Pelodiscus sinensis: one gene and its partners. Each later gene encodes a partner of the first gene's protein in a complex. Links are inferred from orthologs where the notes say so. Each region holds a gene or a part of one and is shown in the gene's direction. Other genes may lie near its edges. The genes, in order: TMEM237, CC2D2A, MKS1 and B9D2.

What was found.
Region 2: TMEM237 (region 1) and CC2D2A share a complex: the UniProt entries of both Homo sapiens proteins name them as parts of the tectonic-like complex. The link is inferred for Pelodiscus sinensis from reciprocal best matches to the Homo sapiens genes TMEM237 and CC2D2A.
Region 3: TMEM237 (region 1) and MKS1 share a complex: the UniProt entries of both Homo sapiens proteins name them as parts of the tectonic-like complex. The link is inferred for Pelodiscus sinensis from reciprocal best matches to the Homo sapiens genes TMEM237 and MKS1.
Region 4: TMEM237 (region 1) and B9D2 share a complex: the UniProt entries of both Homo sapiens proteins name them as parts of the tectonic-like complex. The link is inferred for Pelodiscus sinensis from reciprocal best matches to the Homo sapiens genes TMEM237 and B9D2.

The regions. Positions count from the first base shown.
Region 1 is NC_134717.1:56,805,580-56,812,835, forward strand, and holds the start of TMEM237 (transmembrane protein 237), read left to right. Parts: upstream 1-4,095; coding exon 4,096-4,125; intron 4,126-6,217; coding exon 6,218-6,249; intron 6,250-7,256. Other genes in the region: MPP4 (MAGUK p55 subfamily member 4), read left to right, coding at 1,674-1,865. UniProt on the Homo sapiens protein: Component of the transition zone in primary cilia. Required for ciliogenesis.
Region 2 is NC_134715.1:107,493,311-107,500,711, reverse strand, and holds the start of CC2D2A (coiled-coil and C2 domain-containing protein 2A), read left to right. Parts: upstream 1-4,065; 5' UTR 4,066-4,463; intron 4,464-4,513; exon of another isoform or gene 4,514-4,741; 5' UTR 4,742-4,804; coding exon 4,805-4,841; intron 4,842-7,401. UniProt on the Homo sapiens protein: Component of the tectonic-like complex, a complex localized at the transition zone of primary cilia and acting as a barrier that prevents diffusion of transmembrane proteins between the cilia and plasma membranes.
Region 3 is NC_134731.1:16,307,960-16,315,515, reverse strand, and holds the start of MKS1 (tectonic-like complex member MKS1), read left to right. Parts: upstream 1-4,437; 5' UTR 4,438-4,456; coding exon of another isoform or gene 4,457-4,515; coding exon 4,516-4,595; intron 4,596-4,963; coding exon 4,964-5,085; intron 5,086-6,399; coding exon 6,400-6,467; intron 6,468-7,556. UniProt on the Homo sapiens protein: Component of the tectonic-like complex, a complex localized at the transition zone of primary cilia and acting as a barrier that prevents diffusion of transmembrane proteins between the cilia and plasma membranes.
Region 4 is NW_027465992.1:83,969-91,562, reverse strand, and holds the start of B9D2 (B9 domain-containing protein 2), read left to right. Parts: upstream 1-4,439; 5' UTR 4,440-4,582; intron 4,583-4,638; exon of another isoform or gene 4,639-4,689; intron 4,690-5,867; 5' UTR 5,868-5,871; coding exon 5,872-5,959; intron 5,960-6,144; coding exon 6,145-6,270; intron 6,271-7,028; coding exon 7,029-7,342; 3' UTR 7,343-7,594. UniProt on the Homo sapiens protein: Component of the tectonic-like complex, a complex localized at the transition zone of primary cilia and acting as a barrier that prevents diffusion of transmembrane proteins between the cilia and plasma membranes.

The DNA.
Region 1 (7,256 bases):
CTCTGAGTCCCTTTTCCTAGAGACACCAGCTACAGAGACTTCAAACAAAAGCATGGTTACTGTGTTCTGCATAGGATGCATTCCTACTTATGTTACAGTGCCATATAAATGCCTCACTTTGTACAGACACTTAACAAAAATTAAACAAGAGATTAAAAATAGAATGTCACACTCGTGTCTATAATTTTAAATCTTCAGTTTGATCTTCATTGTCCAGCACTGTATTTTTTTTAAAATGTTCTGAGGACTGCCTACACGCCCTTGTCCGTCATGTTGGCTGTGAGAGGGCATTGTAATTAAGTAGCTTAAAAACCATGGAATTTGTGGAAATATTGCTGATAAACTGAAATACAGAATAGGAATATAGCTGTGGCAAACTGATCAGACCACTGGTCTATCACATCTGGATCCTGTAACATTAGCTAGTACAATGACAAATGACTTCACCTGCACGGCATCTAGGCAACAACACAATCCAGCACATGGAAGTAGAGGAAAACTTATTGTAAACTACACAAGCCATTGGTTGCATTTCAAAGGCTTAGAATTTATTATCATTGTTATGACATGCGTAACTTAGAGTTGTTGTTGGTTATCAGTCAGAATAATTTGTATTGGTGTTAGTATTTACAGACAGGGACAATCCTCAGCTGGTGTAAATTGACACAGCTCCTTTGAAGTCTCTAGAGCTATGCCAATTTCCACTAGTTGAGGATCTGGCCAATGCTACCATTTTCCAACCAGTAGCTACTCTGAAAAGACGTACAAAATAACAGATCTTGGAAGCTCTGTGGAATTTGTAGTAACTTCAGTGAGAGCTTCTGCTGGCAGAGGGTTTGCAGAATGGCATCTCACTGAAAATTACCTACAAGAATTCCCTCTCAAATATAAAATTATCATAAAGGGGAACAGGAGCGGCCCGAGGCTGGCTGTGGCAGCTGGTGCCCTAGGCGGAAGGTGCAATTGGCGCCCCCGCCTGCACGGTTGTCAATAGCCATGATGGCACCCTGTAGTCCCGTGACGACATCATTGGGCGCCCAGGCCCGCAGCGCCCTAGGCAACTGGTTAGTTTGCCTAGATCCACGGGCCACTCCTGCAGGGGAACTTATTACAAGAAGTGTGGGGTTTATAATAGGGCACACATGCAAAGTCTCAGCTTGACAAAGCCCTGGCTGGGTTGATTTAGTTGGGATTGGTCCTGCCTAGAGCAGGGGGCTGGACTTGGTGAACTTCTGAGGTCTCTTCCAGCTCTATGGTTCTATGATTCTAAGTTGATACATAGTAACTAAGTTTTTGAAGGGATGCCTGCAGCACTTCCAGGCGGAACCATGGCAGAATAGGTCTTTATTTATAATAATATTACTTTGTATTTCTATGCCACCCTTTATTTCAAAGTGTTTTATAAATATTAACAGCCTCCCTGTGAGGTAAGCAGTAGCCTCATTTTATGAATGAGGACAGACAGGCTAAGTGTTTTGGCCAAGGTCCTGTACTGAGTCAGGGGCAGAGCTGAGAAGAGAAAATCAAATTTCCTGGCTCCCAGTTCTGTCTTCTGGCCACTAACCCTAGTTCTCTTTGGAAGAGTAGAAAGTGAAAACTTAGATAAACCTATTCCCATTCAAAAGCATCCCACATGAAATGATAGTTTCATAGGTCTATATTGTTTCTTGCAGGAGGAAGACTTGCAGGAGATGGAGGATTCTGCTAAGAAAATAGAAGCTCAGTTTGGCCAGTTCTTTGATCAAGTGATTATAAATGACAATTTACAAGAGGCCTGTTTGCAGCTGCTGTCTGCAGTCCATCAGGCACAAGATGAGCCCCAGTGGGTCCCTGCTACATGGATATGTTCAGACACTCAACCATAATGCTGAGAAGCAGGCAGCTTCACAAAGATTATATCTTTTACCTCAAGAACAATTCTGTCAGGATTCTAAGAATATAGCTTTGTGTAGGAGAGATTTGGCAGGGGGATTAGGAAAAAAGCTATTACAAGATAATCATGCTGTCTTCATTGTAGTTCTTAGTGTAACATGATTGCTTAACATTAATTTTGTACCCCCAAAATTATTGTAGTAACTCAGAATGACAAAAATAAAAGATCTATTTTCTTGCATGTAGTTGTGTGGTCTAATCATATCTGTGTCTAAGTGCTTACCATACCTCCTTTTTGTTAAAGGCGTATTGATTTTTATGATGCTTGTGTATTGCCAAAGCAAAACCAACAAGTCTGTTATACACTTAGTAGGTTGACTTCGTGCACCAAAGGAGAACGCTTTATAAATATATTATTTTGCTGCATGCTTCTGTCCCAAGCACGTTTCTTTGCTGATGTTTATTTTTAAATTAGTTACAGGTTTAATGTAATTCGCAACACAAATGACTCTAGAATTCACATTCATTCACCTTTATAATAAAATTAATTTTCACAGCTATCAAATGCTGACAGATATCAGCTTTGTAAAAATTCATCACTAAATGTAATGATGATCTTGTTCATAACATGTTAGCAGAAGCAATTGACAAAAATGGGCATATCAATCTAGACGCAAGAGCAGGTTAAGGGCCTGGTACTGCAAATGTTTACCCACATGATTAGTCTAACTGAAGTCAAATCAGTGAAATTACTTATGTGTCTAAGACTGCATCCTTGGATTCTAGGTCCTTTGGTTGCAAGGGTTCCTAAACACAGCAATGAGCAGGAGTGGCAGATGATGTGCACAATTGATTGATGGCAACATTCTGCTTCTAGCCCAGGATTTAGAAATGGGATTCATCATTAAAGGAGGGAGAGCTGCTGATAACTCTGACTCCTGACTCTTTGATGTATCTTGGCTGACACTATTTGTAATCCATTGTTATCCACTAGAAGTAAATGTGTATTATTCCTGATAATGAACAGAAAGTTTAGAGGGTTGAAGCATTTATTTTAGAAGTTTTACTTCCAAAGCTATAGAAAGCGAGAGTAGAGAGCTTCAAGTGGCTACTTGCCTTATGCACCTGAGTTTTCTACTGTATTGCACCAGTCATTCACCATTACAGGAAATACATATACCAAATGTTAAGGCTATGTGTGTGTGTGTGGGTGTCTTAATTCTAATAGAAAAGATTCTGGGTTTATCTTTTCCCTGTGCACAATTCTTAATCTACTAACTGGATCAGCCAAAATTTGTGTTGATATTAAAAGCATATTTTAATGCAATGGTAGAGTTGGAAAATAGTTGAATTTGACAAGCCACAAAGAATTCTTTCAGACCTTCCTGGTCAATCCTGCATGTTGTCCTTTGAGAGTATGTGTCATTCAGTCATTGAATAAAGAGCCTAGTTACATATTGGGAGTTTTGTTTAGATTGTTATAGAACTGTGCAAATCTATATTGTTTTTTGTTGGTCTGAATTTCTGTTGCTGGTTCAATATTTTATATCTATACTAGTATGGTTCTCTAACTGCACCAGCCTGTACAAACATGTCTTTTTCCTGCTGATCGTTCCTGCCCAGGATTGTGGAGGAACCTTGAACTGACCAGAGGGATTGCACATGAACAGGAGCTAACAGGAGTGGTAATAGAGCAAAGGCTCCCAGTGCAGCCATGCAAAGTTCAGGGCATCCCCACTGTAAGTCACCTGGTATGCATCCATTGCACACTAAAAAGCTGAGGACACTTGTAGGAACTGATGCACTAGAAGTCCTCCCGTTCCCAGCTCTTAAAACATGCAAAAAAAAAAAAAACCCTCAAATTTGCGCCACTGAAAGTCAGCCAGGAGGGGGAATTCCCTGCTTTAAATTGTTTCTCTGTAAGTCCAATTTTTTTTGGACTGTACCTTGGACATCGAGCGAGGGAGGGGGCGCCGGGAGGGGGCCGCGGGCCGCTCCGCACCGGTACGAATCTGCACAGGGGCAGGAGCGATGATCCGGCAGCCGCCCCGGGACTCGCCCAGCCGGGGGGGGGGGGAGGGGTCGGAGCCTCACGCCGGTGCCCCCCCCCCGGCTGCGCGGGCTGGACCTAAGCGCGGGGGCCGTGACGCGCCGCCCGGAAACCCTGCCCGGCAGCGCCCGCCCCTTCCCGCCCCTCGGCCTGGGAGACCAGACGGGAGCGACATGGAGACCCCGCCGCAGGGAGCCCGCCTGGTGAGGGGGCCGGGGGCGGGCGGGGCCTCGGTGTGGGGGGGACCGTGGGGGGTGCGGGATGGGGGGAACGGGGGGGAGTGTGCAGGGTGGGGGTGTGTGTGGGGGGCCCGGGGGGGAGTGTGCGGGATAGGGGGGACCGGGTGTGTGTGGGGGGGGCCCGGGGGGGAGTGTGCGGGATAGGGGGGATCGTGGGGGGGAGGTTTCTCGGGGGGGGGGGGGGGGTTGAGTTTCGCGAGGAGCCTTCCAGCCCCTGTGTCCGTGCCCCGCCCGAGCTCCGTGCCCGACCCAGCGCCAGGGCTCTCGGGCGGCGGGTGATGCCCAGGGGCTCTCTGAGGCCCCGGCCCGAGGTGCCTGTTCAGCCCTGCTAAGCAACGGCGTTAAACAAATCCGGAGCCTGCCGCCGGGGCGGGGCAGAGCCAGCGCGGGGCGGGAGGCTGCAGTTTCGAGGCTGTTCGAAGCACAGACCAATCTGGAAAAGTCTTTTTTTTTTAAGTCCTTTCAGTAAAGTTCTGCACCTCACTGGGGCTAGACACCATGGCCGCTGGGGATGCAAGTTACAGGGTTAAGTCGGCGGGTGGGATGTAATAGTGTAGCCGATTAATCAATTAACCAATAAGCTAAAGTTTCTAGGTTAATGCTATAGACTACACGCATTTCCCTCCCCTCCCTGCCAGTACATTTTTTAGCAGGCTGGCCAACGGTTAGAGAAGAAGAGCCAAAATAGTGGTGGACAGAGTGCAAAGAGCCACTGGGGCGGGGGGAGTTGTTTAGCCCCCCCCCCCCCCCCCAAAAAAAGGCAGCTGTGCCAGGGGGAAGATAGATGCTGGTATTTTGTCCCAGGGAGGGGGCTTCAGGCTGGACAGTATTGGGGTTGGGTGGAGAGTTGAGGTGCTGGGACGCCATGCACATCCCCCCCCAACCTGATCCCCCTCCCTGCCCTTCCCTCCTCCAGAGCCAGGCATCTCCCCCCTGCTCTAACCCAATTCCCCTCCCCTTTCCTCCCCCCTGTGAATAATGAGAACTTGGATTTCTAATTGCAAGAAGCATTAGGGACCCATTGCTGTTCCGTTTGGAAAATTGGTGGCAAAACTCCCATAGACTTAAATAAGAGTGGTATCAGAGATAGCAATGTTCATGTCCAACTAATCCAGTCTATCAGCAGCTTATGTTTAGTGCAGAATTAGCTGAGGCCAGAGCTGTCACAGTTGGATTTAGGATGCTATTCAGTGTCTCTCTCAAAGACTGGCTTTGAATGGTATGGGGAAGAAACAGGTGGTGAGTTCAGTTCTAAGGAGCCTTGAATTACATTATCTGTGCATTTTTTAAATTGAAATAAAGTCTTGGGAGCATGGGGATTTTTTCCATTGTCCAATTCACTTATTTAATACAAAATCTGAATCTAAGCTACCTCGTTTTTTCTAGGCAAGAAAAGTGTCAGCTATGCTTCATCTAGCCTGTTAATAAAAGGTTTTATTATTTTGAAGTTTAAATTTTGATTTGACCTCAAGATCAAAATAATTTGAAAAAGTTGTGTTTTAATACACATTTTTATCATGTTAGACTTCTTTTTCAATTATTGTTTAAACTTTGAGTATTTTTCTCTAATTGTCTCTAATTAATTTCACTAATAAGTACATACATGTCTTCATACTATATAATATGCAAGTATGTTGATATTAAATACTTAATTTTTGATAGTCTCTTTTAAGATAATATTTTCAATAACTGACTGGACTGATGAATTAACTTTCCTCTTTGTGTAATTTATTATAAGAGAAACAAAAATATTTAGAGAATAGCTACATATGCTTTTAAAGTGTCCATAGTGTCTCTCTAAAATACAGCACATATCTGAATTTAGACATTGACATCAAATGTGCATATCCTCATAGCACCTTCCATCCAAGAATCTCAATGCACTTGTGTACATTTATGTATGTAATGTTCAGAATTGCCTTTCGGAAGATTAATATATGTTGGATGTATCAGTCATGCTTGGAACTAGCTGGCTTCTTTGAAATGGCTTAGCAGGGGCTTAGAAGGGAGGTGGTTTTATAACATACTAATGGAAGATTTCTTTTTTAAATTTTAGCGCCCACCCCGTGCCCTTCCCCCAGTTCCAAGGTAAGATTATTTGATTCTGTGAAATATGGTCATTTTTGTGCACTTGAATGTACTTAAAAGTTGTGAAAGTAAGAAAAATTAGCTCAGCAGAAATCTCAGAGTTCTCATAGATTTTAGTGAGATTTTACTAAGTGTCTTAAACCAACAAAAAAAACTTCTTTGAATTCTGGGTAAACAAAGTTTAAAATAAAATGAAACTTGCATTTGTGAAGCTATGGGTAAGTCTGTCAGCACTTTCATTATAAACCTAGCTTTATTTCAGTTTTGTATTTCACCACAAAAATTTGCAACATACTAATGTTTTTCTGTGCTGCAAGGCTAAATTTTATAACTAATTTTCTAAAAAGATTTATTTGGCTATGAATAACTTCGTCCTTTGACTTTCCAGAGCTCTTGAAGTATGGGATGCTTATTTTCCAGTCATATAGTACAAAAGACATTTCTTGTTGTCAGTAGACTGGGAAGCAGTTTAATTCATATTGTTTCTTCTGTCATTCGAAAGGGGAAAATGCATCAAACCTTTTAAGACTACTTCAGTCTCAGTAGCTATTCTATTCTCAACCCCTTGTTCTCCTTTCCTGGCCCTCACCTCATTCTTTATTGCTGGGAATGCTGTCTCTGATCTATATTTTAATTAGCAAGTGCTTTAGGGCTGAGACTTTTAAAAATCAGCCTGGCACTTAGCACATGGAATAGGGATGTAAAAGGTTAACCAGTTACCTGGTAAGAGAGAGACTTACTGGCATACTTAATGGGTAACCGGTAAATGGACCCTGCCCAAACTCTGGTGGCAGGCCAGACCCAGCCAGAGCAGCCTCCTCCCTGCAACACAGAAGGACCCCGGTCGTGGTGGGCTAGGCTGAATCAGATCGCAGCTTGTGGAGCAGTGGGCATGGCAGGCCAGGGCAGGACTCTGCCCACGGCAGGACAGCTAGGCTGGAGCAGCTGCAGGCAGTCCCTGCCTGGAGCAGCCCCTATCACACCTAGCAGGTGAGATCCATGCCCCA
Region 2 (7,401 bases), on another chromosome or scaffold:
TTCTTCAGTTTTATATCTTTGCCCCAGCCCAGACATACAATAGAAAACTGCATCTTTGAAAACAAAAAACAGAAGGGCTTGACCTGGAGGATGGTAGTGAATATACATGCTCAAACTTTTTGCATCTCTGCCCTTTGAAAATAATAATTGCAATTCCAGTTAAAGAAAATTCTGAGGAAAAAGTAGGAGCATATCAATGTTCCCTCTAAGTTTTTCCATCCATGTACGGAATAAATTTTGTTATGTGCTCTGAGGCATTTCAGATGTGTACCACGAATAGAAACATCTAGTGATGGCTGTAGGAAGCTGTAGAACCTCTGCTAATCAGCTGTGTGGCATTTGAACCTCTCCTGGGCGGTCGCACAAGCATTCAGCTTACAGGGAACACTGAAGCATACAATCTCTTCCCCCTTCCCTCGCCCCTCCCCACCGCATCTAAGAACTAGAGAGACGACAAGAGCCACAAATACTGATTTACAGTGGGGTGTCACTAATCATCCTTTTGTCTACAATTTAGCTTTAATTCTGCAAGGATGTAAACATGGAGGTTGTGTCTAGACTGGCCAGTTTTTCCGGAAAATCAGCCACTTTTCTGGAAAAACTTGCCAGCTGTCTACACTGGTCGCTTGAATTTCCGCAAAAGCACTGACGATCTCATGTAAGATTCTTAGCGTTCTTGCAGAAATACTATGCTGCTCCCGTTCGGGCAAAAGTCCTTTTGCGCAAAAGTTTTGGGCAAAAGGGCCAGTGTAGACAGCTCAGATTTGTTTTCCGCAAAAAAGCCCTGATCGCGAAAATGGCGATCGGGGCTTTTTTGTGGAAAAGTGCGTCTAGATTGGCATGGACGCTTTTCCGCAAAAAGTGCTTTTGCGGAAAAGCGTTTGTGCCAATCTAGATGCTCTGTTCCGAAAATGCTTTTAACGGAAAACTTTTCCGTTAAAAGCATTTCCGGAAAATCATGCCAGTCTAGACGTAGCCGGATAGTGAATATGATTATTCATGTGTGTAAATGCTTGCAGGATTGGGGGCATAAGCATTTCCTATGTATTACCACATTCTTTTCCTTCTGACTGTATTTAAGATTTTTTTAAAAATCTGAGGATTTCCTGAATTGATTTAGCAGATTTTCTGACTCTACCCCTTTAAAAACAAATAGTAGTGACCTTCCTTAGCAACCTTGTTGCTAAGATGGGCATTTTTGTTATGCCAGACTGTTGATTGCAACTTCTGAAGTACCGCCTAAGAAAGCCAGGTATGAGTCAATTGCTAACCTTTTGGATCTTTTTAAAAATCCCCCCTTTCTTCATTTTTCATGAAAGAAAGAATTTTTAGAAACAGAAATCCTCAGAGTGACTTTTATAAAGGATTCTTGAGGTAATTTTATTTTAAAAGTGCAATTAGTGATACTCGACTGTATCCCTGTTTTCAGCTTTAGATTGTCCAGAGATAGACGAACTCTATTTTACTGAACAACTTCAAATCTCTTGCATTCTTTCATAGACAAAAGCATTTAATTATGCATTATAATTTTTATAGGCTATGGCACTAATTTCAAGAGCTATTTGAACACTTATTGTAAGGACCATTTTATATAAGATATTCCCCAGTCACTTTCACCGACACACACAGAATTATTTGAATTTGATTCTGTAAAGTGCTTATATAATAACATATGTGCTACATATTAAAATGAAATAACTTTTCAGATTAATGTTAGTAGATTTAAAATATTATTTGACTCCAAGATTTACCTGGTATTGCTCATGTCCTTAACTCAAATAAGTTTTGTTTTTCTTCATTTAAATCATTGTGCTGGGGTGGAGCTGGGGATGAAGGGTTCAGTATGCAGGGTGCCCTGGGGAAAGAGGGCAACCTCTGCCCTCTCTCACCACAGCAGCTTGGAGCCAACTGAGAAGCACCTGTCCAACATTCCCCAGTCACAGATAGATACAGGAGCATACAATTCATATAATCTCTCTGAAATAGATAGTAGATAGTTGTCCCTTTCTCTACTCCTGCCCCTGCTGGCCCATTGGGGTTATAGTTGTACAGTCCCCATCTTCGACCCCATCTCCTGTCCCCTTATGTTCATTCTGCAGTATAACTCCCTCCTACCAGACTTCTCCATTTCCATTTTGTGAGAAACAATTGAATTCCAGGCACATCCCATTGTCTTGGCACAACCAAACCCTGACCTTGCTTTAAGTTATGATAAGAAGCTGCATATCAAATTTGGTGGCCCTATCTGTTAACATTAGGAGGAGCTCTTCAACAGACAGACACACATTTCTAAAATATATAGTAAGAAGATGTGAGTGGCTCTGAGGCTATGTCTAGACTGCAAGCCTCTTTCGAAAGAGGCTCTTTCGAAAGATACTTTCGAAAGAGCCTCTTTCGAAAGAGAGCGTCTAGACTGCACGTTGAACTTTCGAAAAAGCGGCTTGCTTTTTGGAAAGAAAGCATCCAGTGAGTCTGGATGCTCTCTTTCGAAGAAGCCCTATTTACATTGAAGAACGCCTTCTTTCGAAAGAGGAACTTTCGAAAGAAGGCGTTCTTCCTCGTGAAATGAGGTTTACTGCCATTGAAAGAAAAGCCGCGTTCTTTCGATTTAATTTCGAAAGAACGCGGCTTGAGTCTGGACGCAGGTGAGGTTTTTTCGAAAAAAGGCTACTTTTTTCGAAAAAACCCCTGAGTCTGGACACAGCCTGAGGTACTAGGGAGGGAATTTATCCCTTATCTGGAGTTGAGGTTTATGCAGAGATCCAACAGGGTACATACAGCTTGCAACCGTGTAACCTGAGCTCTCATTTGGATTTAAGAGTGCCTTAAACAGATTTATTTGAAATTGATTCCTTACTGACATAAACTAAATAGATATCAGAGCTCTTAAATCAAGGTAGCAGTTACAAATCATGGAGGGTGTACCTATATAGGCTGAATCATTTTCTGAACAGTTTGAATTAAATCACTAACTTCATCATGCAGACAAAGCTTTAGGAACATCTGTAAATTTCAGATTTGGCAAGAATGAACCAGCTAAAAGTGAGAAGGAACACCATTCTTGCAATAAACTGTATATGGACCAATCATGGACAGTTTGTAGATGCTTTACAATAATGGGTAACTCATACACAATTTATATTTGTCGACTTGATTCACTTTTATAGGGAATTATAAAAAAAACCTTGTAGATATATTCTGAAGATCATATGTCCTGGCTACAAATAGCAGGAAATTATTCCGTTTTCAAAACCATAAAACTGTTTTTTTCAAGTGTTAAATATTTTTAACGTTACTTCTAAGTTAATAGGGTCCACTGGATGCAGAGGTATTCCTTTGTGAAGTCTGTTGCATGATGAGTGCTTGTGCATTAATGTGTACATCTGATTTTAATAATTTTTGTATTACAGGCAGGTATCAATTGCTGCAAACATGAATTTCAATGAAGAATCCCAGATTATGGCTATGGAGGTTAGTCTGATTAGTTACAGTAAATGCATAGATGGATTATGGGGCATTTCTTTCTTTCTAAAAAGTATGATAGGGTTTTGTTCATATCACACTTTTGCTAGTTACTAAATAGTAATATACAGATTTCGTAATATAGGAGTTAATTGTCCTTTGGGTAAATGCAAGTGACTCATTATAATTGATAGGGATTATATGTGGCTATTAAGAAAAAATGTATTTCTGTGCAAATCAATCAAACATAATACAATGCACTATATTTAACAAACACTAGTTTTTAATGTTATTCCTAAATCATTGAGCATAAGATGCTTTTTATATTACATTAGTAATTATTGTAGTGCTTGCTGTGTAGGGGGCATTTTCCAAATACTCAAAAAAGGACAGTCCTGCCTCTGAGTTCAAAATCTAAGGACAGACAAGTACCATAGACAGGTTAAATGGAAGGCAACTGGAATGGCCATATGCACGTTATATACAAGTCCACTTTAATTATAGGCAATATGAAATAAATGCACAATCTTTGTGATCATGTGAGTTAGTTACGACACCAAGTTTTCAAAAACTGTGAAACTGTTCTTGAAGTGACGAAGGGTTGTTTTACTCGGAGCTAACGGTTCTATGTCGCAGCCCCCGAGGAGCTGTGAAGTTTGCAGGTTTCCATGCCATGGAGTCGGCACGAGGGTAGCCGGCCCCGCAGATAAGCTGCAGGCGCGAGCCCAGTGCCGAGCGCAAGTTAGCCGAGGCCCGGCCGATAAGCAGCCGCGTTAACTAGACGACGCCCGGCAGAGCTGGGGCCCAGCTCCCACCGCGCTTAGCGCCCCTGCGTGGGACGATGCCCAACACGAGGGCGGGGCTCCACTGGCGGCACCCGCCGAGCCCCACGGCGGGCTAACCCCTGTGCCTTTCCCTCCCGCGGCGGGCGGGAGGCGCCGGCCCACGGGGCGCAGCTGAGGCAGACGCTGACGGCTCAGAGGCGGGGAAGAAAGCAGCCCGTGAGTTCGGGGGCGGGGCGACCCTTTCACGTTCGCGCAGTCGGTTGCCGCGGCAGCTTCCTCTCCGGAGGGCCAGCAGACCTGCCGCGCATGCGCGCGAGCGCGGGCGGCGGGTTGCTAGGCACCGCGCAGAGAGCTTTGCCTGGCGGGAGCGGGACGGTGGACTCGCAGAGCGGTGACCAGGGCGGGCGCGGAGCACATCCGGGTGACGGGGAGGGGCCCTTCGCGCTGTGCAGCGCCCCCTGACGTGCGGTTCCTTTCCCCTCCTCCCCCCCCAGCTGCTGGAGGCCGTTGGTCCCGCTGTTTCGCTGGCGGAGGAGGAGGAGGAGGACCCGGCCGGGATGGCGGCGCCTGCTGCCAGCGCCCGGACACCGCGCAGTAAGTGTCTGAGTGATCGGGGGGGATTCCCGGGCCGCAGCCTCCACCCCTTGCCTACGAGCTTCCGACGCCGCTGTGGCCGCGCCTCCAGCTCCCACTTTTCTTGGGGTGGGGGAGGAGCCTGCTGGGGCAGCTCCGGGACTGGGGCGGCGCCGGTGTAGCGAGCAAAACACTAACTTCTCAGAATTTGCTACTTTGGGTGCACTGAGCATGCGCACCCGAACTGAGCAAACTCAGTGTCCCTCGCTGTAGCCGCTGCCCACTCTCTGCCCTCACTGCCTCCTCAGATTTGCTTCCTCCTCTTCGGAGGTGTTTAAAATGATGAAGGGGGGCAAATTGCAGGGGGGGTAGTGTCTGGTTCTGAGCATGGGGCAGAAATTTACCGGCTGGAGGCATCAATCTTCTTTTTTTAGCTGCAGAAGAGGGGCAAAATTTGAAAAATCAGGGGGGTGGGGGGTGGTAGCCTTGGTTAACCCCGGGCTGGGGGACACTGCCAGACCCTGTGCACGGAGAAAACCCCCGTTTAGGGAGGGGGAGAGGTGGGAACAGTCATCCAGCAGGACAAGCCACCTGATGTCCTTGAAAATATCAGTTTTCCAGGGGCAAAGTCTTTTTTTTTCTTTATTTTCCCTGGACGCTGCCTGTCAGCCCCCGAGCAGGGGGCGGGCTCCTGGGCTTGAGTTCTTAAAGGCACAGGCCTCCCAATTCCTAGACGGTCAATGCTTAGACACCACCGTTCCTCTGTATATGTACAAGTGTGAAATATTCTACATACAGTTCCTGTCTCAAACTCTGCCTCTCACTTTTTTAGTATTTAATAGTTTTCTCTTTGTTTCTCTATCAGAAGTCACTGCATCTCCTTTCTCTTGTGTACTATGCTGATATGCTAAAGTCCCTCCCATCCACACCCTCACCTGTACTGCAATCCCCTGACCCATGGCAGATCCCACACCTGTCCCCCAAACTCCCCCTAGCAAGCACCCCTCATGCACCCAAACTCCGTCCCAGATCCTCATCACCAAACATGGGCAAGTATCGGAGGGGTAGCTGTGTTAGTCTGAATATGAAGAATCGTTGAGGAGTCCTGTGGCACTATCTTCAGTTCGTCTATAAGGTGCCACAGGACTCCTCGCCAACATGGCCAAGTGAAATTTTAGTGATTCCTCCCGTAGTCAATGGGGACATGGGTCAGAGAACTCAGAGCAGGGGGCTCCAACATTTTGAAAGTGCAATCCAATATGTACCTTATATATAAATACCCTTTTCCCGCTTCCTTCTTACCCCTTCTCCAAGTCCCAGATCCTGCTCCCTCTATCCTCCCTCTCTTGCCCATCCTCAGTCTCTTTCATCAGCCTGGGACAGACGGTTGGGTGCACATGCTCTGGTCTTTGCTTAAGGGATCTGGAGTGTGAGAAGGGCTCTGATCAGCTCTTGGAGCATGCATTTACTGTGGAGTTCTAGGTGCAGGCTTTGGCAGGGTATTTGGATGCATGGGTGCTCAGAGCAATGATAAGGGCTTGGATACAGGACTGGGTTCATGCCAGGGGTAGGAGTTAGTGATGTATGCTCCATTTTGTCACTGCTGGTGACTCCTAGATGGTGGTGGAGTGTGCCTAAGGCAAGCTCACCCATGGCCTTGCCCTGTAACACTACCTAAAGCAGCAAGAAAACTCCATCCCTGGTCCTGTGTTGAAAGGATACAGAATGGTATATGTTGAACCCTGACATCAGCACCCCTCTTTTTCCTCCCCTGCCGTGCACACAAAGCAGCAGACTCCCAGGCGTGGTATCAGCTGCAAGGCAAAGTGCAGGACATCCACAGCAGTGGGGGGAGGGGCATTTAAGTGCTGGCACTTGATATCCTCTTGCCCACACCAGTCATGATCACCTGACAGAGGATACAAGATCTACCAGTATATCCCTATCTACTGGTTGGTGACCACTGCCTCATAGCGACTGTCTGTCCAGGGTCAATGTGTCATATCATAAGAACATAAGAACGGACGTACTGGGTCAGACCAAAGGTCCATCTAGCCCAGTATCCTGTCTACCGACTGGCCAGCACCTGGTGCCCCAGAGAGGGTGGACCGAAGACAATGATCAAGCGATTTGTCTCCTGCCATCCCTCTCCAGCCTCTGACAACCAGAGGCCAAGGACACCATTTTATCCCCTGGCTAATAGCCTTTTATGGACCTAACCTCCATGAATTTATCCAGCTTCTCTTTAAACTCTATTATAGTCCTAGCCTTCACAGCCTCCTCTGGCAAGGAGTTCCACAGGTTGACAACACGCTGTGTGAAGAAGAACTTCCTTTTATTAGTTTTAAACCTGCTACCCATTAATTTCATTTGGTGTCCTCTAGTTCTTCTATTATGGGAACTAATAAATAACTTTTCTTTATCAGCCCTCTCCACACCACTCATGATTTTATAGACCTCTATCATATCCCCCCTCAGTCTCCTCTTTTTCTAAACTGAAAAGTCCCAGTCTCTTTAGCCTCCCCTCATATGGGACTCGTTCCAAACCCCTAATCATTTTAGTTGCCCTTTTCTGAACCCT
Region 3 (7,556 bases), on another chromosome or scaffold:
ATGGACCCACCACGCAACCCAGTCCCTCCTGTGTGGAGCCTGGATGTGGTACTCGACGCCCTAATGAGGCCACCGTTTGAGCCTCTGGCGACCGTATCCTTACGATTCCTCACCCTGAAAACGGTTTTCCTGCTCGCAATAACCTCTGCACGCAGGGTTAGCGAGCTTTCCGCCATGATGGCCATTCCACCATATACGATTTTCCGTAGCGATGGGGTAGTCCTACGATTACATCCGAGGTTCCTACCCAAAATTGTCTCCAATTTCCACGTTAACGAACCAGTCATCTTGCCAACCTTTTTCCCGAAGCCCCATGCCTCGCCACGGGACGTGGCCCTACATTCCTTGGACATCCGCAGGGCCTTAGCGTTCTACATAGATCGTACTAAACCGTTCAGGCTTACGGACCATTTATTCGTCTCCCTGACACACAGGTCAAAGGGTCAACGCCTATCTTCCCAGAGAATCTCCAATCTCATAACGGCATGCATAGTGCAATCGTACGCAGCAAGAGGGTTGCCCCTTCCGTCCCAACCACACGCTCATTCCACTAGAGCCATGGCCATATCTACAGCGTTCCACAGAGGAGTATCTCTGAAGGACATTTGCAGAACGGCGACCTGGTCCTCTCATGGGACCTTCGCTAAGCATTATTCTATCTCTCTCTCTCATTCGGATGGGGCAGTGGTGACTGCGGTGCTCTCCACGGCGGATAAATAGGGTCTCCTTGCCCTCCTTCCGCTTTCGGCGACTACCGCTATGCAGTCACCCATAGTGGAGCACCCGCGGGGACATCCCCGAAGAAGAAAGCGAAGTTACTCACCTCCGGTGCAGTAACTGTCGTTCTTCGAGGTGGTGTCCCCGCGGGTGCTCCACTACCCATCCTCCTCCCCGCTTTGGATTCCCCTCTATCTCTGCTCTTGTCTCTTACAGACTCCGAGGCGGTTCCGAGGAACTGGCGGGCGGCCGGACCGCGCGACGGAAAGAGCGCGAAAGCCGCGAGCCTGCGGCACATGCGTGGTCCGGCCGGATACTGCTACTGACAAGTCTCCGTCTGCGGCGCCGGGGCAAGCCCAGCACCCATAGTGGAGCACCCGCGGGGACACCACCTCGAAGAACGACAGTTACTGCACTGGAGGTGAGTAACTTCGCTTATCCTCTGGGCCAGTGTTGTGGCGTGGGTATCCAGATGATTGACCTGTTGGCGATCAGGGACAACAGGAAATGTCACAAGTACCCCAAAACCTTATCTTTCCAGGGTTTGGTATAAAGCTTCCCCCCAAAATCTTAAACTTAGATTTTGGGGATAAAAATCCGCTGCCACCACCCAAGTAATGATAAACTCAGGGAAGAGATCACTTGAGAAATCTCAGCCCTAAAGTAAAACAAGGACATGCAAAAATTAACCAATACCAGGTTAATAAAAGTTCTTTCTCTCTTTTTTGTTTTAATCACCACAGTACTCCTGTTACAAGCATAATGACTAAATGGAAAAGTCACCAATTTATATACTGATGGGGGGACCCCTCATGGGCCAAGAGCTTAGTTGCAAAGGAGAGGAAAACTCATTTTTAAACGCACAGACATCAGATTCCCATTCCCAAATCATAAAACAATAAAACCTAATGGATTTATCTAAACTTTACCCTACTTACAGATGGTGAAGAGTCTTTTCTTGGAGAGACAGACATGTCTTTCTCCCTCAACATCTGGAGAGAAAAACTGCGCAGAAACAAAGGAGGGAAAAACCCAAAAATTCCTTTGTCCCATTTTGAAATCCCTATCTGCATTTGTATTGGCTGACTATACCTGGCTTAGGTACAGTTAACCTCTTACTCCCCAGGCTGCTGGCTAACCCTCATGGTCATGACATACCTCTTCTGTTCTTTCATTGCAGCTGCCAAGCAGTTTTCTTCTTCGCCCTTCTGCCGGTCACCCACAAGCAGAAGGTGGGTAGGGCCAAGTGCAGGCTCATAGTTCTGGTTCTTCAACTGTTTATTCAGCCTCATGTCCTGTTCCCTCCACCCTGACCAACTTGTTCAGAACCACACACACTTGCTGCATCCCAGGTGCAGCTCCCTGCTGCTACTGGTGTGGCTGCTGCACAGCTGAATGAGGCAGCACACCAGCGAGCCCTCTGCCAGGATCCAATTGGCATCTAAATGGATGTATTGACTTGTGCAATTCATCCTGCTGGCTTCTGTCCAGGACATTCTGGCATACCTGCATAGGCTGGTTTGGGGTAACCACTACAGGGCCTGCACTTTGGGGGGGGGCCCTCAAGGTGGCCTGGGAGATTAGTAAGGGGGGGTAGAGCCTGAGGCAAATTGGGCAGGGGGTTGTCCTGGGCCCGGCACTCCCCTAGGGATGGATCTTCAGCTCTTGGGACTTGTGCTTAGTTCATTGAAATTTCTTCTGGCAGCAATATCAGCATTCCATCTCTCCAATTGGGGAAGATGAGTTTTCTCCAATGCCATAATAGCAAGGTCCCTGAAAGGGTTTCTTCCTCTACATCCTCCAGTCCAAGAGCTAATTTCTCTGTGGGACCTTAACATCAAACCTAGCGCCTTTGATGGAACCTGTTTGATTCCCTGGCATCTTCTCTGTTTCCATTTTTTTATCAGAACCCTGTGTTCCTGGTAGTGAAAACATCCACAAGGAATGGGCGAGAGCTGCCGGCTCAGATAGCAGCACCTCCTTATAGCTAATTCTCCAATGTGATGCTGACCACACCCAAAAATTGTGTTTAACCATAGCTAGCTCAAGTGAAACAAAAAAACACATTTTACTTATCTGCATACTTACCTAAGCTGCCTTCATCGCTGGAGGAGCAGTGTCTCCATATGCTACAGGTCTGGCCTTCTATTGGGCAGGACTCAATTTTGCCTCACCTGATGTGACCTGGCAAGGGAAGAGGGTTCCCTGCTAAGGGGCAATCACAGTTCACCTGGTGGTTTGCCTCACCTGATTGTATGAAGGGGCAAGTAGTCTCTTCATTCTCTCCAAATGGAGAAATCTGTATCAAACCCACCTGTGAAATAGCTTTGGCTACATCCCATCTCTGAGTGTGAGCTCAATCTACAAAAGCAGAAGGCATGTCCATAGCATTCTTCAGGACTGCCATGTGATCATCCATATGCACATTTACTCCATCTTCCAGGGCACGGTTGTAAGCTTTGGTAGGTTGGTCCTGTAGTCCTTTTGTAGGTGGACTCTAAGCTCCACCTCCTCATGGGAGATACTGTGAGGGAGTCACTTAAGTAGAATTATGGCACAAAACTGAGAACTGGTTACAGTAATTCCTCATTTAACATGATAGATGCATTTCTGAAAATGTTTGTGCTAAGCGAAAACGAGCTATGTGGGGTCAATTTTCCCATTAAAAATAATGGAAAAGGTGGGGGTTGCATTTCAGATGGCAATGGCAAAGTCAGTTTTTTGTTGGTGTTAGATCTCTAGCAACACAAGTCACTGCAGTTTGTTAAAACACAAAGATAATCACGAGTGAAGGGAGGAGCACTGTGACCATGTGTACTCATCTGCTCATGCATATTACCACTGTTTTCACAAACTTATACCGCCACATAAAGTAGTCTGCCACTTGATTATTTTTGTGTTATTTTGGGAATGGTTGTGTTATTCGAAAAACATTCCCTAAAAAAAAAATCATGCTATTGCAAAAACGTATTAAGCGGCACATGTTAAATGAGTAATTACTGTAACTGTGGTTCTGGGAGACATCATGCAGATGTGTGTTCCAGCGACCCACCCTCCATTTCCTTTGCATCAGTTTGTTCTTCAGTGCAAAAGAACTGAGAGGGTTGGGACAGTACCACTTCATATAGCCATGGTCCAGGCTATAGCCACAAGATGCAAATTCTCCTGCTCTTGAGCAGATGACATCTGAGCGCTTGTGTCCGTTTGGTTCTCTAGCCAGGACTGTCTCATACAAAGCTTTGCTAGTGAACAACCACCACATAGTCACGCCCAGCTGTATTGGTGAATATTATGCCCAGCCACGCAAAAATCGATGCTGGGTACATGTTCTAGGTCCAGCCTTGCACCCCGGTCCATCCCGTCACTGAACAGAGCAAACGCACAAACGCATTTCTTTGGAAAGGAAATAACCAAGCCAAAGCATTTGTGAGCGCATGGGGATGTCCCACGGCGCTGGTTCGGACACGAGTCTCAGGAGAGAACCTGCAGCTCTCGGGAGTCCGCAGAGCTGGAAAGCCAGGCCGGCCCCCTCCCCGCCCCGCCCCCCAAGGGGGGTCCTTGTCTTTTGACCTAGTGTGCGTCTACTGTGGGGCAAGCGACGTGCCTGTTCCCTGGCTGCCGGGCAAGCCCCCGTCGCAGGCTCTGCGCAGAGCCCGCACCCCTCCCCCCCCGACCCAGCACACCCCCCCGGCCCCCGCAGAGCCCGCACCCCCCCCCGGCCAGGGGAGACGGGCCGCGCATGCTCAGCAGAGGCCCCGCCCATCTCCATGGGGCGCGGACGCGCTTTCGGGCCGGGCCATGGCGGAGCCGTGCTGGAGCGCGGAGGCGGGGGGGGCGGTGTATCGCTCCCGGGACCCCGTGCGGGGCCTGCGCGTCCGGTCAGGGCCCGCGGGGTGTTCCGGGGGGGCGGGGTGTCGTGGGGGGGGCAGGGAGTGTGGGGTGTCGGGGGGTGTGGTGTCGGGGGGGGCGGGGAGTGTGGGGTGTCGGGGGAGGGGTGTGGGGTGTCGTGGGGGGGCAGGGAGTGTGGGGTGTCGGGGGGTGGGGTGTCGGGGGGGGGGCGGGGAGTGTGGGGTGTCGGGGAGTGTGGGGTGTCCCATGGAGGGTACCTGGGCCCCTTTGGGGCGTTGTTGTGGCACAGCAGGCTGGGGTGCCTGGGGAGGGCCCAGGCAAGCGGCCCCTGGCGCCTTCCTCCCTCCCCTGCCCTGGGCAGCCTGCTGACTCCAGCCTGGTGCTCCTCCCTGCCCAGGGTGCATGTCCAGCATGTCACTTCCACCAGCCTGCTCCTGCAGCAGCTCCAGCAGCCCTCTAGCCAGCAGCAGGGGAAGGATCTCATCAGCCTGGCCACCTTCAGCTCCCATCCAGCAACAAGTAGGTGGTTCATGGCTGGTGTCGGATGGGGACCCATCTCTCCTGTGCAAGGCCTCACAATGGCTTCTGCCACTTGGCCGAAGCCCCACTGCACAGGTCGCAGGCAGGGAGAGATGCCGGACTTGCAGCAATCTCAGTGGAGGGGAGATGGCATTTTTACACCTTTCAACCCCACAGAGTACAGGACAGCCTCAGCTTCTCTGGGCTACCTCATATGAAGACCTGTCCTACCTGTGGATGGAACAGGTGCCCCGTTTCTCCCCCTGGATATTCTGATAGTGGTAGGAAGTGCCTCCTTTTCCCAGCCAGGGAGCAACTGGTGAGACAGGGATTTAATACCTGTGGTAGGATAAGGTGTCAGAGTGGGTGCATCTTTGCTAGGGAAAAGGTGTGCCTTGACCTCGTTAGCAACTACAAGGTCAAATCCTAGTGAGGACAAGCCACTTGGTAGTTTTTACATGTTAGCACCTCAGAGTAAAGTCTTGCAAAATACTTGGCTCAATTTGCTAATACATGTGCTGACCGCAGACTTTGGGATTTGATCTTTTTAGTTATCAACTGTTAGTTAATTTGCAATGAGAACACATCTTTTTCTTAGTGAAGAAGCACCTTCCAATTCTTGTTTCTTTTTCTTGGTGCATCATGTTGAAGAAGGAAATTCCACCCTCTTTGACCTTAGGCATTTGTATTGCCAATTGAGCATTATACCTAGTTGCAAAACAGGCTTCCAGGGCTATTCCACTCACAGGGCTCATTGTCTTTTCTCTTGCTGAAAAGTGAGACTGGCTGTGAGCAGAAGAACATAAAAATAGTAACATTGCATCATATCAATGATCCATTTATCCCCATATCTTGTCTTCTAACAGCAGCTGGTACCAGGGGCCCCAGAAGGAATGAACTGAAGAGGCAATCATTAAGTGATTCTTCCCGTCACTTATTCCCAGCTTTTGGGAATCAGAAGCTAGTGATATCCAGAGCATAAGGGTGCATTCCTGATCATCTTGGTTTATAGCCATAGATAACGTTAGCCCCCATGAACTAACAGTGGATATTTCCAGAAAGCCTTTGACAATTTCCCTCACCAAAGGCTCTTAAGTAAAGTAAGTTGTCATGGGATAAGAGGAAAGGTCCTTTCATGGATTGATAACTGGATAAAAGACAGGAACCAAAGGGTAGGAATAAATGATAAGTTTTCAGAGTGGAGAGAGGTAACTAGTGGGGTCCCTCAAGGGTCTATCCTGGAACCAATCCTGTTCAACGTGGAGGGAAGAAGCACATGTGTGAAGAAGTGACCAGCCCCCTATTGTCTTTCAGGTGGCTATCGTGCCGACGATGAGGAAGAGGAGGCCGTGATTGGCTGGCAAGATAAACTCTTCAGCCAGGTGAATAAGCAGAAGGCTGGAAGTGACCCCTCAAGTGGCAGATAGTACTCAGAATAGTATAGTGGATAGTGTGTGTCCAGTGCAAGGGGACTTGGCTTCATCTCCAGGTCCCAGAGCAGAATGGAGGGCCTGTTCCTCTGGCTCACAGTTAGAGATATACGTGCTGCTGCAGTTCAATATGGTTTATATTCTCTAGCCTCTCATGGCCACTGCAGCCTCTAAACTCCACTAGGAGAAAATGGAACATGTTTCTGATTTAGAATTATCCCAACTGCTTGCCTGTGCCATCTTGTCCATGTCTGTAGGGGATGAGTGGAGGGTACTCATTAAACAAGAATGATTAAAGGTCTAGGGTACATGAGCTGTAAAGGAAGACTGAAAGAATTGGGCTTGTTTAGTTTGGAAAAGAAAAGATTAAGAGGGGACATGATAGTGGTTTTCAGGTATCTAAAAGGGTGTCAGAAGGAGGAGGGAGAAAACTTGTTCTTCCTGGTCTCTGAGGATAGAACAAGAGGCAGTGAGCTTAAACTGCAGCAAGGGAGGTTTAGGTTGGACATTAGGAAAAAGTTACTGTCAGGGCGGTTAAACACGAATAAATTACATAGGGAGGTTGTGGAATCTCCATCTCTGGGGATATTTAAGAGTAGGTTAGAAAATGTCTACTAGGGATGGTCTAGTCAGTACTGGGTCCTGCCATGAGGGCAGGGGACTGAACTTGATGACCTCTCAAGGTCCCTTCCAGTCCTAGTATTCTATGATTCTATGAAAAGCAGTGGAAGTGACTCTCAATCACAAGAGAGAAACAGCATTCTGGTTACTAACGGTCCAGGATCCAGCTCCAGGAACTGCAGTCTGGTCCCACAGTTACAACCACATCAATTTTAAATCCTAATCCCACAAACAGTTATGCATGTGCGTAGCTTTACACACTTAAAATAGTGGTTATTTCCACTCCAGCTTCCCCTCATCTGAAGAAGTGGGTTTTGCCCACGAAAGCTCATAAAAATATATATATTTTATTAATCTCTAAGGTGCCACAGGGCTACTTGTTTTTAAAGTGAAATACTAACACTGCTACCCCCTGAAACT
Region 4 (7,594 bases), on another chromosome or scaffold:
GGCTCGGGGGGGGCTGGGGGTAGGTTGGGGGGCTGGCAGCGGTCCGGGGGTTGGGGGCTGGGCTCTCCAGAAGCTCTCCGGGCTCGCTCCTACGCGCCTGGGCCGGGGGGGGGGGGGGGGGGCCTTGTGTCGCTGCTGTGTGCCCCCCCCCTTCCCGCTGGCACCGGCTCGCTGCGCTGGGGGGACGGGACGCGCGGGGCCGGGGGAGCGGAGCGGTGTTGGGAGGGGGAAATCCGGGGGGGCGCGGGAGCGAGCGGCGCTGGGGGGGGAGCGAAGGGGGTGCGTGGGGCGGGGGGGGGGAGCGGAGCGGCGCTGGTGGAGGGATCCGGGGGGGGCGGGGAGCGGAGCGGCGCTGGGGGGGGAGCGGAGCGGCGCTGGGGGAGGGGAGCGAGGGGGGTGCGTGGGGGGGGGAGCGGAGCGGCGCTGGGGGAGGATGCGTGGGGCCGGGGGGCGGAGCGGCGCAGGGAGGGGTGCGCGGGGCGGGGGAGCGGAGCGGCGCTGGGGGAGGGATCGGGGGGGGGCGGGGAGCGGAGCGGCGCTGGGGGGGGATCCGGGGGGGGGGCGGGGAGCGGAGCGGCGCTGGGGGAGGGATCGGGGGGGGCGGGGAGCGGAGCGGCGCTGGGGGAGGATGCGTGGGGCCGGGGGGCGGAGCGGCGCAGGGAGGGGTGCGCGGGGCGGGGGAGCGGAGCGGCGCTGGGGGAGGGATCGGGGGGGCGGGGAGCGGAGCGGCGCTGGGGGGGATCCGGGGGGGGGGGCGGGGAGCGGAGCGGCGCTGGGGGGGGATCCGGGGGGGGCGGGGAGCGGAGCGGCGCTGGGGGCTGGAGCCAAGCGCCCGGGTGAATCACTAATCGGCGGCCCGCGAGCGAGGGGGAGGCGGGGGAGGGAACAGGCAGGTGGTGGGGGGCTGCGGGCGGGAGCGGGGGGGGGGCAGGGCTGGGGGAGGCTTCCACGGGTCTGTCGTGGCAGGGAGAGGCTGCAGCACGTGCACTGTGTCCTTGTGCCCCAAGGCCCCACCAGGCGGGGGGGGGGGGGGGGGGGGGGTTGCTGAGTGGGGCAGGTGAGGGGGAGGTCACCGGGCTGTGTGGGGGGGGTCACTGCATGAGGGGCACCGTGTGGGGCGGTTGCTATATGGGTGGGGGGCACCATGGGGGGCGGGGCCTCTGCCCTGTGGGGCCTGAAGGAGCTACCAGGAGCTTCTGCTTCCTTCCCTGTTTTGGCAGCATCTGGACCCCTCCCCCCCCCCCCCCTGTGCCAGGCGCTGCCGGTTCCTGCCCTTTGCTGGGGACGTGGGGCCTAGGGCTGAGTTGCCCAGAGGGCTTGGGGGTCACAGAGGGGTCACAGCCCTGCAGGCCCCAATGGAGCTCAGTTCCCCCCCATTCTGCATCTATCTCCCCCCTCCGTTCCCACCCTCCTCCCCATCTGCTGAGGCTGCTCTCAAACGCTGCGGGGGGGGAAGCTTGGCAGCAAGGCCTAGTGCGCAGAGCCCTAGACTGGGCCTCAGGAGACCCAGCGTCCCAATCCTGGCCTGTCACTGTCGTGCTCCGTGCCTCAGTTTCCCCAGCTGCAAGGGAGGACTAGCGACCCCCGCCCCTGAGAGAGGTGCCAGCGTGTGGCTGAGGGAGGGGGCTGGGGGCTGGGGGGCCAGCCACAGGGGGATCCATTAGTCAGCGCAAGGTGCGGGGGTCGGACGTCAATGTCATGGCTGCTGCATAATCAGCCCCCATCCCACCAAGCAGGAGTGCGGCTGTTAAAGGCCCCAGCCCCCCCCTCCACCCCCCAGCTGCCGCCTCTTGCATGTGGAGGTGGGAGCAGCCACCGGGGACCCAGGAGTCCTGTAGCCAAACGCACCCGCTGCTGTTCATGGATTTCCTTCTAGCCCCACGGGGACATTGGCCCCCAGCCCTGCCGGTGCCCCTCTCTCCTGCCCCCCAGCCCCTGCCCCCCCAGCCCTGCCGGTGCCCCTCGCTCCGACCCACAGCCACTGCCCCCCCAGCCCTGCCGGTGCCCCTCGCTCCGACCCGCAGCCACTGCCCCCCCAGCCCTGCCGGTGCCCCTCTCTCCTGCCCCCCAGCCCCTGCCCCCCCAGCCCTGCCGGTGCCCCTCGCTCCGACCCGCAGCCACTGCCCCCCCAGCCCTGCCGGTGCCCCTCTCTCCTGCCCCCCAGCCCCTGCCCCCCCAGCCCTGCCGGTGCCCCTCTCTCCTGCCCCCCAGCCCCTGCCCCCCCAGCCCTGCCGGTGCCCCTCGCTCCGACCCACAGCCCCTGCCCCCCCAGCCCTGCCGGTGCCCCTCGCTCCGACCCACAGCCCCTGCCCCCCCAGCCCTGCCGGTGCCCCTCGCTCCGACCCGCAGCCACTGCCCCCCCAGCCCTGCCGGTGCCCCTCGCTCCGACCCACAGCCCCTGCCCCCCGAGCCCTGCCGGTGCCCCTCTCTCCTGCCCCCCAGCCCCTGCCCCCCCAGCCCTGCCGGTGCCCCTCGCTCCGACCCGCAGCCCCTACCCCCCCAGCTCTGTTGGATCCCATGTCTCTCTCTGGGGAACAGCCCAACTCAAGCTCCCTGCCCCAAGGGTTTTGCGATGGAGCCGACCAGACCGGGCATCTCTGGATCCAGACAGTAACAAGCCACCAGGACACAGGCCTGGTCTGGGTGTGAACCAGCCTGGTTTTGTCCCCCCCCCCCACCTTGGCCCTCACGCCGGGTGGGGCTAGCCAGGCACAAAGCTGGGCTAGTGGGGATCCAGCCAGAGTTGGACCAGGCTCAGGCTCAGCCTGCTGGTGCCCCCCCGCCTGGGCCCTGTGCTGGGAAGCAGACGGGGCGTGGTGCATTAGGCGCCTGTGCTCTCAGCTTCTCGCCAGCATTTTAGAACCCTGCTCGGAGCCCGTGGGGGGCTGGAAACAGCAGGTTTCCAAGGGACGCTAGAGCAAAGGGCCCATGATGCCAGGAGAGAGCAACATGGTGCCTGCTATCTGGCAGGAAGGGCCCGTGGTTATAGCTGAAGGGGGAGAGGATGGTGCTAGGACTCCTGGGTTCTCTCCCCAGCTCCGCCACTGATGTCCACCACGATTATGGGCATGCGCTCTCTGTGCCTCAGTTTCCCCCTCCACTGCATTGTGAAGCACTTTCAGTTCTGCCTGATCCCGCCCTCTTTGCAGCAGTAGCCAGTCGCCAGTCGGGTGGCAAGTGTGAAAACGCAGGGTGGCCACAGGCAGACAAAGCCCCAAATATCTGGACTGTCCCTATAAAATGGGGACACCTGGTCACCCTAATGGCCACCCAGCTAGGGCCCAGGGGGCTCTTTCCGTAACGGGTGCTCTCGGGCAGGGTGGGCCTGTGGGACTCACTGCCACAAGATGTCACCATGGCCGAGCACAGTGCAGGACCCACCGAGCTTGGCTCTTGGGTTAGATCAGGGCTGAGTGAACGAAGTCAGAGGTGCCCCTTGGGTGTGCTGCAGGGGTCTCTGCTTGGCGGTGGCTCGTCCCTGCTGAGTGTCCAAGGCCCAGCAGTGCGCAGGGCGTGGCCCGGGGGTGGAGGGTGAAGTGCCTGGAGCAGGGGGTCAGATTTTGTGTCTGGCTGTGGGCGGGGGCGGGGGATGGCTGGTCCATGCAGGCTGGCAGATCCAGGGCGGGGTGGCTGCCTACGTTTGCTGAGGGTCTGTCTCCCTCTGGACAACGCGCTGGGCACTGGGGGCCGGGAAGGCCAGCGGCCCAGCGGCTGGTGCCTGGCGCTCGGTCTGCTGGGCTCCAGCTCGACCATCAGATACGGGCTGGGACGGGCGGGGCTGGGGCCTGGACTCAGGCAGGCCCTGAGCTCAGCCCTGGTGCTCCCACAGTGCCCCCCCCCCGCGTTCCCATGGTGCCCCACAATCTCCTCCCCCGTTGCTATGGTGTTCCCATGATGCCCCTCCCCCGTTGCTATGGTGTTCCCATGATGCCCCTCCCCCGTTGCCATGATGCCCCTCCCTCGTTGCCATGGTGTTCCCAGATTCCCCTCCCCCGTTGCTATGGTGTTCCCATGATGCCCCTCCCCTGTTGCCATGATGCCCCTCCCCCGTTGCCATGGTGTTCCCAGATTCCCCTCCCCCGTTGCCATGGTGTTCCCAGATTCCCCTCCCCCGTTGCCATGGTGTTCCCATGATGCCCCTCCCCCGTTGCCATGGTGTTCCCAGATTCCCCTCCCCCGTTGCCATGGTGTTCCCATGATGCCCCTCCCCCGTTGCCATGGTGTTCCCATGATGCCCCTCCCCTGTTGCCACGGTGCTCTCACGAAGCGCAGCCCCCACGCTGCCAAGCTCGCTGCCCTTCCCAAAGATGGCTGCCTCCAGGGCTTTGCTCCGCCCAATAGCGGCGTCCCCGGCCCGTCATGACCCATCCAAGATGGCGCCGCCTTCACGACTCTCTTTGCCACAGTCAAGATGGCGGCGAACTCTTGTCGTCTTCCTGGGCGGGGCCTGCGCCAAGCGCCGTCACGTGCCCCTGCGCCAGCCAATCAGGATTCGGCGTTGGGGAGGAGCCCGCCGCCGTTGCCGTAGCAGCCGCGGGCTCGCGAGCGGCGCGCGGCGGAGCCGGGCCCGTGGCGCGAGCGGGTCTGTAGCTCTTCAGGGAGGGCGGGGCGGTGGGATGGTGGCCGCGCAGTGCGCATGCGTTTGGTGTCGCTCCTGCCTGCCCTTCCCGGCCCCCGCCGTTACACGGTGTGAGCTGAGCACGCGCCCGGCGCCTTGTCCCCGCCCCGAGACACACGTGGGGGGGGCCGGGCCCTGGGGCGGGGCAATGGGGGCGGGGCCCGGGGTGGAGAATGGGCGGGGCCAGTGGGGGCAGGGCCCGGGGTGAAGGAGGGGCGGGGCCAGTGGGGGCGGGGCCCGGGGTGACGGAGGGGCGTGGCCAGTGGGGGCGGGGCCCGATGTGAAGGAGGGGCGTGGCCAATGGGGGCGTGGCCCGGGGTGAAGGAGGGGCGTGGCCAGTGGGGCGGGGCCCGATGTGAAGGAGGGGCGTGGCCAGTGGGGGCGGGGCCCGGGGTGAAGGAGGGGCGGGGCCAGTGGGGGCGGGGTCCGGGGTGAAGGAGGGGCGGGGGTCAGTGGGGGCGGGGCCCGGGGTGGAGAATGGGCGGGGCCAGTGGGGGCGGGGCCCGGGGTGAAGGAGGGGCGGGGGTCAGTGGGGGCGGGGCCCGGGGTGGAGAATGGGCGGGGCCAGTGGGGGCGGGGCCCGGGGTGAAGGAGGGGCGTGGCCAGTGGGGGCGGGGCCCGGGGTGAAGGAGGGGCGGGGCCAGTGGGGGCGGGGCCCGATGTGAAGGAGGGGCGTGGCCAGTGGGGGCGGGGCCCGATGTGAAGGAGGGGCGTGGCCAGTGGGGGCGGGGCCCGAGGGTGCTGATGTCTCAGCAGTGGGGGGGGTCTCTTGCCTTTCAGGGGTGCTGCTCCCAGAGGGGGGTTGCCCTGGGGCGGGGGTCTCCCCACAAGGGTGCAGCCCCCACTGGGCGGGGAGGGGCTGGTCTGCAGCGCCCGCCCCCCCAGCACCGTGCCGGGCATGGAGCCGGGTATCCAGGCGGGTCCCGCGGCCCCCCCAGAGCAGGCGGCCGGACCTTCAGCTGCCCAGGGCTCTGCCCCGCTGCAGCAGCCCAGCGGCGGGTCCCTGGCGGGTTGGCCCCCAGCAATTTCAGCCCTTGTGGGGCAGGTGCCCCAAGGACCCGCCGCAAGGAGGGCAGCTCGGTGCCGCTTCCTTGGGAAGGAGCTAGAGCTGGGGCTGAGCGTCAGGATGCCTGGGGTCTTTCTGGCGGTGGGAGGGCAGTGGGGGCTAGTGGTTAGGGAGCGAGCAGGGGCTGGGAGCCAGGACTCCTGGGTTCTATTTCTAACCCCCCTCTTGGGTCGCCCGCGGCAGGACCATGGCCGAAGTGCACATCATCGGGCAGCTCGTGGGCGCCAGCGGCTTCCCCCGCTCCAGCCTCTTCTGCAAGTGGGGAATCCACACAGGTCAGCCAGAGCCACGGGCACCCGCGAGGCTGGGGGGTGGCATCTGCGGTGAACGGGCTGGAGAGGCCCAGAGCCAGAGCCAGCGGGTTGGAGAACTGGGGGCCCAGTCTTGTGGGTTCTATCCCAGGCCTAGCGGTTAGAGCCAGGGCTGGGAGCCCCTCGCTGACCATGCTCCCCCCCCCCAGGCGGCGCCTGGAAGCTGCTCTCCGGCCTGCGGGAGGGGCAGACACAGGTGGATCACCCCCAGCTGGACGACGTGGCCTATTGGTCCCACCCCATCGACGTGCACTTCGCCACCAAGGGCTTGCAGGGTAAGCGGGGGCCGCCGGCCCCAGGGCCAACCCCCTCTGTCCGGGGTGCCTGGATCTCCGAACCGGCCTGGGGGCAGGGCCAGTGGTACGGGCAGGTGGCTGCCAGGGGGCCCATCTCTCCCCCCACGTTCTGGGTGGCCCCCGGAGGCTGGGCAGGGCAGGGCAGGGCAGACTTCCCCCTGGACACAGGTTTCAGCCCTGGTCTTGTGTCCCTGTCCCCACGGGACAGACAGCCCAGGAGATGGGGAAAGGCGCTGGCTGGTGGTGTTCTTTGTACGCTGGGCGCCTGTGCCACTGCTCAGGAGAGAGTCCGGCGCTGCCCAGCCGGCGAGGAGAGCGCCCACCGCTAGGTTTTGTTTCTCTTGGTGGTGCACATCCACACGTGCCCCCGTGTACAGCATAAAATTATTCCGCGCGTGGGTGGCAAAGCCCTGCAGTGGCTGGAGGAGCTGAGAGGGAACCTTGCAGGCCCAGCGCAAAGCGAGTTCCTCTCAGTGAAAGGCATTTTGCCTCCTGTCCAGAACCCCCAGAGGCGGTTTGTTGCCCAGTGATCTGGGGTTTTCTGCCCTCCTTTCAGCCCCCAAGGCAGGTCCTGGAGGGGGACAGATGCAGCCCCACGTCCCCCTGTCCCGGCTGCAGGAGAAAGGCTGGTGGCTCCTATGGGACGGGGCATGGAGCATGCGGCCCATCCCCTCTCGGGGTGCTGGCCCAGGCAGTGCCAGGGTTGGGGGCTCTGACGGGTCCCCTCTCTCCACCAGGCTGGCCCAAGCTGCACGTGCAGGTCTGGCACCAGGACGCCTTCGGGCGCAGCGAGCTGTACGGCTACGGCTTCTGCCACGTGCCCTGCAGCCCGGGCTGGCACGCGCTGGCCTGCGCCACCTGGCAGCCCCTGGGCTCCTGGCAGGAGCGGCTCTCCCAGCTCTTCGTGGGCGGGGGGCCCCAGCTGCTGAACAGCGACCTGATCTACACGGGGGCCGACCGGTACCGCCTGCAGACCGTCGCCGCCGGCACCGTGCACCTACAGCTGGGCGTGCTGCTGCGCAACTTCGCCCGCTACGGGGTGGAGTGCTAGCAGGGGGCTTGCTGTGGGGCGGGGCGCTGGGGGGGGCAGGTGGGGAGGGGGTCCTGCTGGGGTGCTGGGGGGCAGGTGGGCCCCTGCTGGGGGGCAGAGGAATGGAGGGGCCCCTGCCGTGGGGCGGGGCGCTGGGGGGCAGGTGGGTCACTGCAGGCCGTATGAAACCCCACCGTGGGCTGGAGTATGAGGGGTCTGCCCAGATCCAGTGCCTGATGCTGGAGGAGCCCCAGGATCCAGGGGGGTGGCCCC